Linked DNA regions of Xenopus tropicalis. The protein of the gene in region 2 purifies or fractionates together with the protein of the main gene of each other region. This does not show direct contact. Links are inferred from orthologs where the notes say so. Each region holds a gene or a part of one and is shown on either strand. Other genes may lie near its edges.

Region 1 (4,201 bases), on a different chromosome or scaffold from region 2:
GAATAGCACTTAATAGTAAAAAATCCAAGTCCAGTTTAGGACTCCTCCAGTTACAGGAAAGAGAGAATAGATTATCTGAAAGCAGTGAGAATTTGTAGCACAACTCCTTCTGAAAGATAGCTTCAAGAATAAAAATTTAAATGCTAGAGGGAATGATTTGCTATGTAAACGGTGTAATTTAGAAATAAAAAGTACCCCGTAAAAGTCATGACAGTATCCCTTTAACGGAAGGCCTTACCAGGGATCTATACAGAGTTAATGTCCGTTTTCATGCAAGACTAGTCCCGAGAGATACAGCCTAGAGCTGCACAGTGTAAGGCTGGCCATATACTAAATGATCTGCTTGTTTTGGTGAAGCTGCAAAACAAGAGGATCTCACCTGTATCAGCCCACCTTGAGCTGGTCAATATCACACTGATTCAATTTGATCCAAAGACAGTATGCATTCTGTTAGGAGGAGGACCATGCTAACAAGCTGATTTGGTTCTTGTCCCAATGGGATTTTTTTAACTTACCTGATCAGCAGCTGGCCAATTTTCAGCCAGATAACATTGAATTTGCAGTTAATGTTCACTGGGTGCTTTGCCAGTTCCAGAACCTGCCTGTTAGCAACACGATTAGACAAAAGTTAAGCATGCTCCCTAAAATGACTGCTGTGGGGCCGTCACCCCTAGTTAAGTCACTAAGTAACGCACTTTAATGCACCAGTTGCTGTAACAGTCTGTCACTGGTACCATTTTGTCACCAGTAATGGGGACACAAAGACAGACAACTAATCTCCCTGAAATGCCTTCCCACTGGCATCAGTGACTTGTTGGTGGGAAAGCATACACAGCTCATCCCTTTCTAAAACCAGCAAATGAATCTGTGTGTAACCCCTGCCCTTACATCCCCTCTCACCCATCCCTGTGTTATAGTAACAGCCATGGAGATCAATGGAAATCGGCTGCTATCCTGCTGTTCCTTGCATAACCCTATCATTAGAAGGGAGTGCATTCCTACAGAGGGAAATGTAATTAGATTGGCATCACAGACGAGTTTAAGTGTGATTTAAATTTAAAAAAAAAAGGGGGAATAATAGAAAACTGCGCCCCAGTCACAGCGCAGCGCAGCCCGACCAACTTTAGCGCTCCCGCCCCGCCTACTTACGCAGCCTTGGGAACTACTAGAACAGAAGGATCTCTGACATTACCTGGAAGCTATATAGTATAAAGCCCGTCTTTTCTATTTCACTACCTCCCCCTCCATCACAATAATCAATGAGACAATCGTCCCATACCTCCCGGACTCCCTTATAAGGTCAGCATGAGGTAAAAACCCCGCCCTTTCATGCCTGACGCAAAGCCGTTGGGCCCCGCCCATTTGTGCCGCGCCTGCTGCTGTTGCTAGGGAGCCGTTGCCATAGAGTTGAGCGATTGTCCGCGTGCGCAGGCGGAAGTGCCCGGATTGAGGCTGCCATCTTTCCCGGGCAGAGCTAGAGAGACAGAGAGGTTGAGTCACTGGGAGACGGAGACAGACAATCGGCTTCCATCCGCCCAGTAGATCGCCTTTAATCCCCGCTAGCTACCGCCATGGAAGAGCGAGAGGATCTAGTGTACCGAGCCAAGCTGGCAGAGCAAGCCGAGAGATATGACGGTAAGAAGAATCGCTAAATTCCCCCCCTTAGGTCGACGGGCGGAGAGAATGGAGGCGAGACAAAATGGCGGAGGGTCTAGCAAAGGGAGGGGAGGACAAAGGAGACCCTCATAGTACAATAGGGACTGCTTTTCTGGGATGACAGTTGCTTAGACCTGGCTGCCATTTAGTGTTAGAGGAGCTCCCTGGGGCTGGCTGCTGGCGGCCAAGCGGGAGGGGGCTGTGGTAGGAAGGGAGGCTGCTTATAAAATGGCGACTGCCGAATAGGGCGAGACTATGGGGGGCGGAGGGCGATTTATGGTGTAACTGACCCTTCAGCCTTTTAGGAGGAATAACAGAGGCTTAGACTGGGGGGCAGCTCCCCTATTGATACACTACACATCCCAGCATGCACTGCTAACCGGGCTGCACGGAGTGCATGGGAGCTGTGGGACCGCAGAGGGGATGTAGGGATATATGTGCCGGGGATAGGGCAGTGTGCTTATGGGCGGATCACTGGGGAAGATGGCGGCTGGGGCCGGTAAAACGTCTGCAGTGGTGCAATTTCCTGGATATGTGGGAAAAGCCGCTTGTCTGGCAGCGGAACAGGGGGTTAAGGCATCGCCATGGAAATGGCACTTGGGTGGGATGGCCCTCAGGCTGCGGGCGGCATTTGTGGGCTGAAAGGCTCATTGTCCCAGTCAAGCTGGAATCATGGACAATGTGCAGGTTTCGTGTCTGGCCAGTAATGAGTTCTCTTGGGTTACACACACTGGTCACATAAGGGGGGTCTCCATTATTCCTCAAAGCCCTGCAACCTTCAGCTCTGAACTACAACTCCCAGCATTCCACTGGCTTCACAAGCTGGAAGAGGCACAGGGGTTTGATAGCGTTCCGATGGGATGGAAATCTAGCTCCACTGAGCTTAAAGCTGCATCCAAACGGTGTTTGAATTTTTAAATATATTTTTTCCCAGAATTCCAGCATCTGTCAGCCAAAGCAGTCAGGGTGTAGTAGCTTGCTGGGTGCATCCTTTCATTGTACATTGGTGCAGTGTTATTGTGCAGACCTCCTATCTTTGTTATTCCACTGACAGCAATCTGGGTGGGGGGAGAAGGAAGGGTTATGGTGATGCTGCAAGCCCTTTTACTGTACAAAAAATCTTCCCATGATAGGTCTAGCTCAGATTTTTTTTCATTATTATAAAGGCTGTCTGAGATAACAGCCTATTTTCTATACGTTTTTTTAATTTTCATATGTGATATTTGCCAGGTTAATTCACACTGTCCCAGAAGTGGATTCTATAGTTGGCTGTTTCCTTAGCCAGCCTTGCCTCAGTGAAGCAGTAGGACGCGCCTTGCTGCGCACCTCCGCCCTGGGCCTGGCCTGTGTGCTGTTTCATGCGTCCAGGCTCATTCATTCCTGTCAGACCAGTCCCTCGTCGTGCAGAGGGATTTGTAGATCTGCATCTGGGTGCGTGTCTGTGAAGAGTTGGCAGGTGTGGGCGTGCCCTGTCTGACAGAATGGCCTTAGTCCTGACTGTTCTACAGGATAACAGGCATCCATGGAAAATTGATATATTTTTATTATTATTTAGATCTGGTTTATTTAATTTCCTCCAGCCGCCCTTATTTTTCTTTTACACCCCTAATTAGAACAGATACATTTTCTGTTAAATTTCTCCCACTTAAATTTTAGATATGGAGGAATAATTTATTTATTAAATGCACTGTGATGTTACTTTATACATATTTTAGATAACTCCCCAAGAAACCACATGAGAGGCATTGAAATCCTTATTAATGGAGTGGGGGTACCAGTCACCCACCTCCTTGCATTTATGGAATGCTTGTTTATGTGGTTACCTTTGTCTCACTTGTTTACTATATTTGGAATCCTGGGAATGCTGTAGTGTTCTAGAACAGAGTGTCTGGAACCTGACCTGAGGCAAGAGAATGTCCACTTATCCACATATGTTCATTATTATGTGAATAGCAAAATGTGGTAGGTCCTCATGCTGGAATGCTTGGATATTCACAGAAATGTCATTGTTAGGGAGGCATTAGAACAGGTTTTGAGAACCTTTTTATTCAAGAGATTTAATTTTCAGAACTGTGTGACTGAAACATGCACATCAGATGTGTCTCTAAGATATCTATACCATCCTACAGCTGCCCAAAGACTCCATTTGTATGAGTTATATTTCCACTGAGCTTCTGTATAGCGGATAATACCCCCCCCCCCCCCATATACACACAAAGTTGCTGATTTTTAAAGTGCTGTCTACATAAGTAGTTCTAAAGTCCTGAAGAGTGTTGGGTACCCAGGGTTATCTGCGAAATTTTTTTTGGGGGGGTTTAATGGGGTTTCTGGGGTGTCATTTTTTTTTTTTATTCCTTTACAGTTATTCATTCAATTTTTAAACTTCCTTTTTACTATTTCACTTCTTGCATTATGGTATCCCTCCTGGTAGTCTTTAGATTGTGGGCCAGAACAGGTAAAAAATGTGAGCTGGGTGGGGGTCTACCCAGTTAAACTCACATCGGTCTCTACACAGTTGTATATTTTTAAGAATACACTAACAGTA
Region 2 (4,449 bases):
TAGTTATATTAATTATAAATAAACAGGAAGAGATAAAAAGGTTCATACAGCAGGCACAGAAATCTGAAAAATTGAGAAAGGAATAAATAACAGAGAAGCTAATAGAACAAAATGTAATTCAACAATGATATCAGTGCCCAGAGAACTCCATCTCTATGGTTATGGTTTTTTTTTCCTGTCTGCTTTGTCATTTTACTCTGTAATAAGGTTTTGGCCACAGTCTCTCCTATCTTTTTGTATGAGACAAACATTATAACTTTAATAACCTTCACACTTCTGCTCTACTCATTAATTCCAGAAATGAATTACGTGTAATACTTTTCATTATATCACATGACCTAATACTGACCAATGAGAGTTAAAGACTTTGCAAAGGGCGAGTTCACAGCACATCCTGAGATTGGCCTGGTGATCGGGCAATGCAGAGGGTGGACAACGCATGGGATCAACCTCACAGTCCTCCTCAGACTCATACAGTGCCCGAATAAACTCACCTAGAAGAACAAAGAATTTGAAAAAAGATGAATATCAGAACTGAATGAAAGAGAGAGAATTTAATCATATGTGAAAAGACAAAGATTAAATCATAGAGACAAAACAAGAGAAAAAAAATTAAAAAACAAATATAGGAAAACAACACAATAGCATCTTTACCAATGGCTTCCTTGAGGTATCTCTGTCCTATCAGTTTCAGATACTCCTCTATGGCTTTAGTTGCAAGTGTGTTCTCACGGAGAATAAGGTGCTCTCTGTCAAGGAAGCGATCAACCTCGGTCATAGCCATGTCTGAAAGGAAGTCCTGGGGAGAGAGAGGGAGAGAGGAAAGGAGGCAGAGAGAAATAGTGATAGAGAAAATGAGAGATTGATAGAGAAGGAGATGGAGTGTCACAAACAGAGAAATAGAAGGTCATCAGAGTGGAAGGAAAAGGGGGTAAAGGGGTTAATAGAAAATGAGAAGGGGAGAAAGAGAGTGACAGCCATGTGGAAGATGAAGTCCTGATAAAAGAGAAAAAGTGAAGGAGAAAGGATGAGAGAGAGTCTTTGACTCCATCTCTCCCAGTAGAGAGACCAATAATTTAAATAAATTAGCACTACTACTTACTAACCAATATTCTTTTTTATCATTTCAATGTTAATCATACACTTGTGGTACTGGCGACAAAATGGAACTACAAAGTAGCTTTTATAGTAAGGAGCTCCACTCAACAAAATACATGCACATGTCAAAGAATAACCAACTGGAAAGGGAAATGGAGACTCTATATGGATGTATTTATGTCAGGTTATTTAACAAATGAAACCATGAACCCCAACCTCAGCAGCACACTAACAAGCACTTTTGAGATATACTGCAGAACTTTTTATTAAAACTAACTTCTTGCTTTGTATTAATGTAGGACACATCCATGTCATGACACACACATCATGTTATGCAGCAGATGTCTACTATGGAAATGCTATTATCTGTGTGAATGTTTCTTATATGCTTGGCTGCACGCATGGTTTTTCTTTAGCTCTATAAAAGTAAATGCACAGCAATGTGGAATGTGTTGGTGCATTATAATTATAATAATATATGCGTGTCTGCTTTATCCAAATTTTATTACACAGACAGACAAAACTTGAGTTCTCGGAATGTGTAGCTCCCTTTTATCAGGAGGCATAGAATAGGGAAAGTTGATTCCTGTAATCAACGGGAGAAGAAGGAGTTTGCTCACTCAAGTCCTTCAAAATAGAGTGGTTTCTGGGACCCAGATGTATGCAAACGGGGAAAGCTTAACAACTATTTAAACACAGTTTCTCTGCATCTTAAATTAGATGATCCTCTAGGGAGAAAATAAAAGCACATTTAAAGGACATGTCAACCCCAAAAATATTTTTTTTCTAATAAAAGAATAAATATTTCCAAGCAACTTTCTAATTTGAATTTATCAAAGTTATGTGTAAATGTAATTGCTATAGAAAGCAGCATTTACTGAACTCCTGGTTGTTACTTTTTAAACAATGTTGCAATGGTCAATCTCCTCCAGCAAGTCAGGTCTGTCAATCTGCTGTGGTGTGTTACATTGTTTCGTATGCCAGAGCCACCAGGGCAGGGTCAGGTGAAGCGTATATCTGCTTCTCTCAGCCCTGCACTTTTCTGTCAGGCTGAGAGAAGTGGATCTGCTTCCGTACACTCCTCTGTGTGCCTGCCTTAAAGAATATGGCAGCTGCCCCAGTGTGGGCACACAGAGCAAAATGGATCGGAGGTCGGCCTTGAAAATGTTTGCTTTTCTCTTTTTACAGGCAAACCTCCGATCCACTCCACTCTGTGTGCCCACACTGGGGCAGCTGCCATAGTCTTTAAGGCAGGCACACAGAGGAGCGGATGGAAGCGGATCCACTTCTCTCAGCCTGACAAAAAAAGTGCAGGACTAAGAGAAGCAGATTTACACTTTATCTGACCTTTCCCTTAGCATTTTTATCACTTGCTTCTAGAGAAGCATGGACATTTTGGAACATCTTACTTCCACATACTCTTAGGCCAATGTCCAACAGGGAGATTAGTCACCCATGATAAACCTCTTCTAAAACTTCAGGTGACTTAGCGTCGCTTATGCCTTCCCAACAACACCTTATTGCCGGTGGGAAGGCATTTTGAGCAGATTAGTAGCCCGTGGTAAGCAGAGATTTGTCATGGGTGACTAATCTTCCCATTTAACATAAGCCTTAGGGTGAAGACACATGGACCTACTAGTAGCAGCTACTTTTTGCAGCTACAAAAATAAACAATGTTGATCCTTTACTGATAATTGTCTCTACATGTGTTTTAGCAGAGGAAATTAATATACGTTTTTTTGTTATCTCTACAATGAGTTTATATAATGTATAAATTAGGAGCTGTAAGTATATTTGCCATTGTTTTATTTTCTAGAGTTACTGTGACTGTGTTGCTGGCTAAGCCTGCAGTTTTAGACTTGCCTTAGCAGTCACTGACAGGTTGGCAATAAGATGTAGAGAGGTTGCAGCCACTGACAGGACCAGGAATCAAAGGAAGCCCGAATAACATTGAGTTTATAGCTTAATATATAAAAACTTACCCATGTTCTATTCATTCCTACTGGGTTTTTTAGAGGCATTTTTATCAAATGGTGAGATCTAACTTCTAACTCACCCATTGATAAATATGCTTTTAGAAATCCCATAGGAATGAATATAATGTTGGTGAGTTTTTTTATGTATTAAGCTCTAAACTCACATTTTGATAAATCTGCCCCAACTGTCCCTTTTATTTATATACCTGTTTCTCCTTGCTTTTTCCCAGGAGCATGTTTTGTTGTCCACAGACACCACTCAATAAACATGCAAAATGTACAATAACTGTGAAGTAAGGAATATTTTCTTTGGCAGTTGAGATGGTTGGCCCCTACATGACAACAACCCTATACCGCTTAAGTGTGGGTACCTCTGGCATAAGACTATAACCAATAACTGATATACAAAACCTTTGGTATTATCCTCCATATCTAGGCTGCTTTAAAGTATAAATAATAATAGATAGTCAATGTGAACTGTATGAATATAAAATAAACATGTTCTACAGAAACTTATGGTGGTACACCTAGCATCTTTAGTAATAAAGAATTATTACTAATCTAAATAGTTCCAAATCTTCAAGCTGTTGGCCAAAATAAATAGAAAAGGACAAAGATGTGTATGAATAACCCAATGTAAAATATCCATCCATTCAGCCTATGGGCAGATCAGTTGGGTACTAAATGGGAATGGCCAATATATGCCCACCTTCAAAAAGTTATAGCCTCAGTTAGCAACTGTTTGCCTTAAATCTACTCAGTGACCATCTGTTTAAGATTCATCAAAAACACACACACCTTTTGACTGAAGTCCTAGAAATGACCCAAAATACAGATTACCTACACACAACAATACCTTATAATTCATTGCATCTGCTGATCAACCATTCCAAGCACAAATTCTCTCAGGGCTGCCCAGAAGGCATAGGAAATGGGTAATTAACAACTCATTACTAATCTAACTAACTAGCCAAACTCTTTAAATATTTCAGTGTACTATCAGCATACTATCTCTACATGCTATATTATGCATAAGCAGCTGATACAGCTGATTTATATGTGTTTATACTTGCATTATAAAGTACATGCTGCTTCTAAGACACACAATATACCCATGTACCTTGGCCTTGCCTGTGCTTTGCAGTATATGCACTAAAGCACAGGCAACCTCCTCTTTGCTCTTCACGCTAAGCACAGGCTCCAGTACAGCGCACAGCATCCGGTAGTTGTTGGTGACATACTCTGCAAACTCCTTGTACAGCTCCATGGGGAGGATGCTCATGGTTTGGTATCGGGATTTTAGGCGAATGGAGGGACAGCTGCTCTTCCCCTTGTAGGATGTGGGCTGAGAAACCGGGTACCACTGCTCCACAAA

The links.
Region 1: the proteins of syngap1 (region 2) and ywhae purify together in Homo sapiens (affinity purification with mass spectrometry; 3 studies listed by BioGRID and IntAct, with this or other methods). This does not show direct contact. The link is inferred for Xenopus tropicalis from reciprocal best matches to the Homo sapiens genes SYNGAP1 and YWHAE.

Annotation. Positions count from the first base shown.
Region 1 is NC_030678.2:46,067,105-46,071,305, reverse strand, and holds the start of ywhae (14-3-3 protein epsilon), read left to right. Parts: upstream 1-1,401; 5' UTR 1,402-1,571; coding exon 1,572-1,635; intron 1,636-4,201. UniProt on the Homo sapiens protein: Adapter protein implicated in the regulation of a large spectrum of both general and specialized signaling pathways. Binds to a large number of partners, usually by recognition of a phosphoserine or phosphothreonine motif.
Region 2 is NC_030684.2:71,832,491-71,836,939, forward strand, and holds part of syngap1 (ras/Rap GTPase-activating protein SynGAP), read right to left. Parts: coding exon 4,195-4,449; intron 800-4,194; coding exon 655-799; intron 495-654; coding exon 350-494; intron 1-349. UniProt on the Homo sapiens protein: Major constituent of the PSD essential for postsynaptic signaling. Inhibitory regulator of the Ras-cAMP pathway.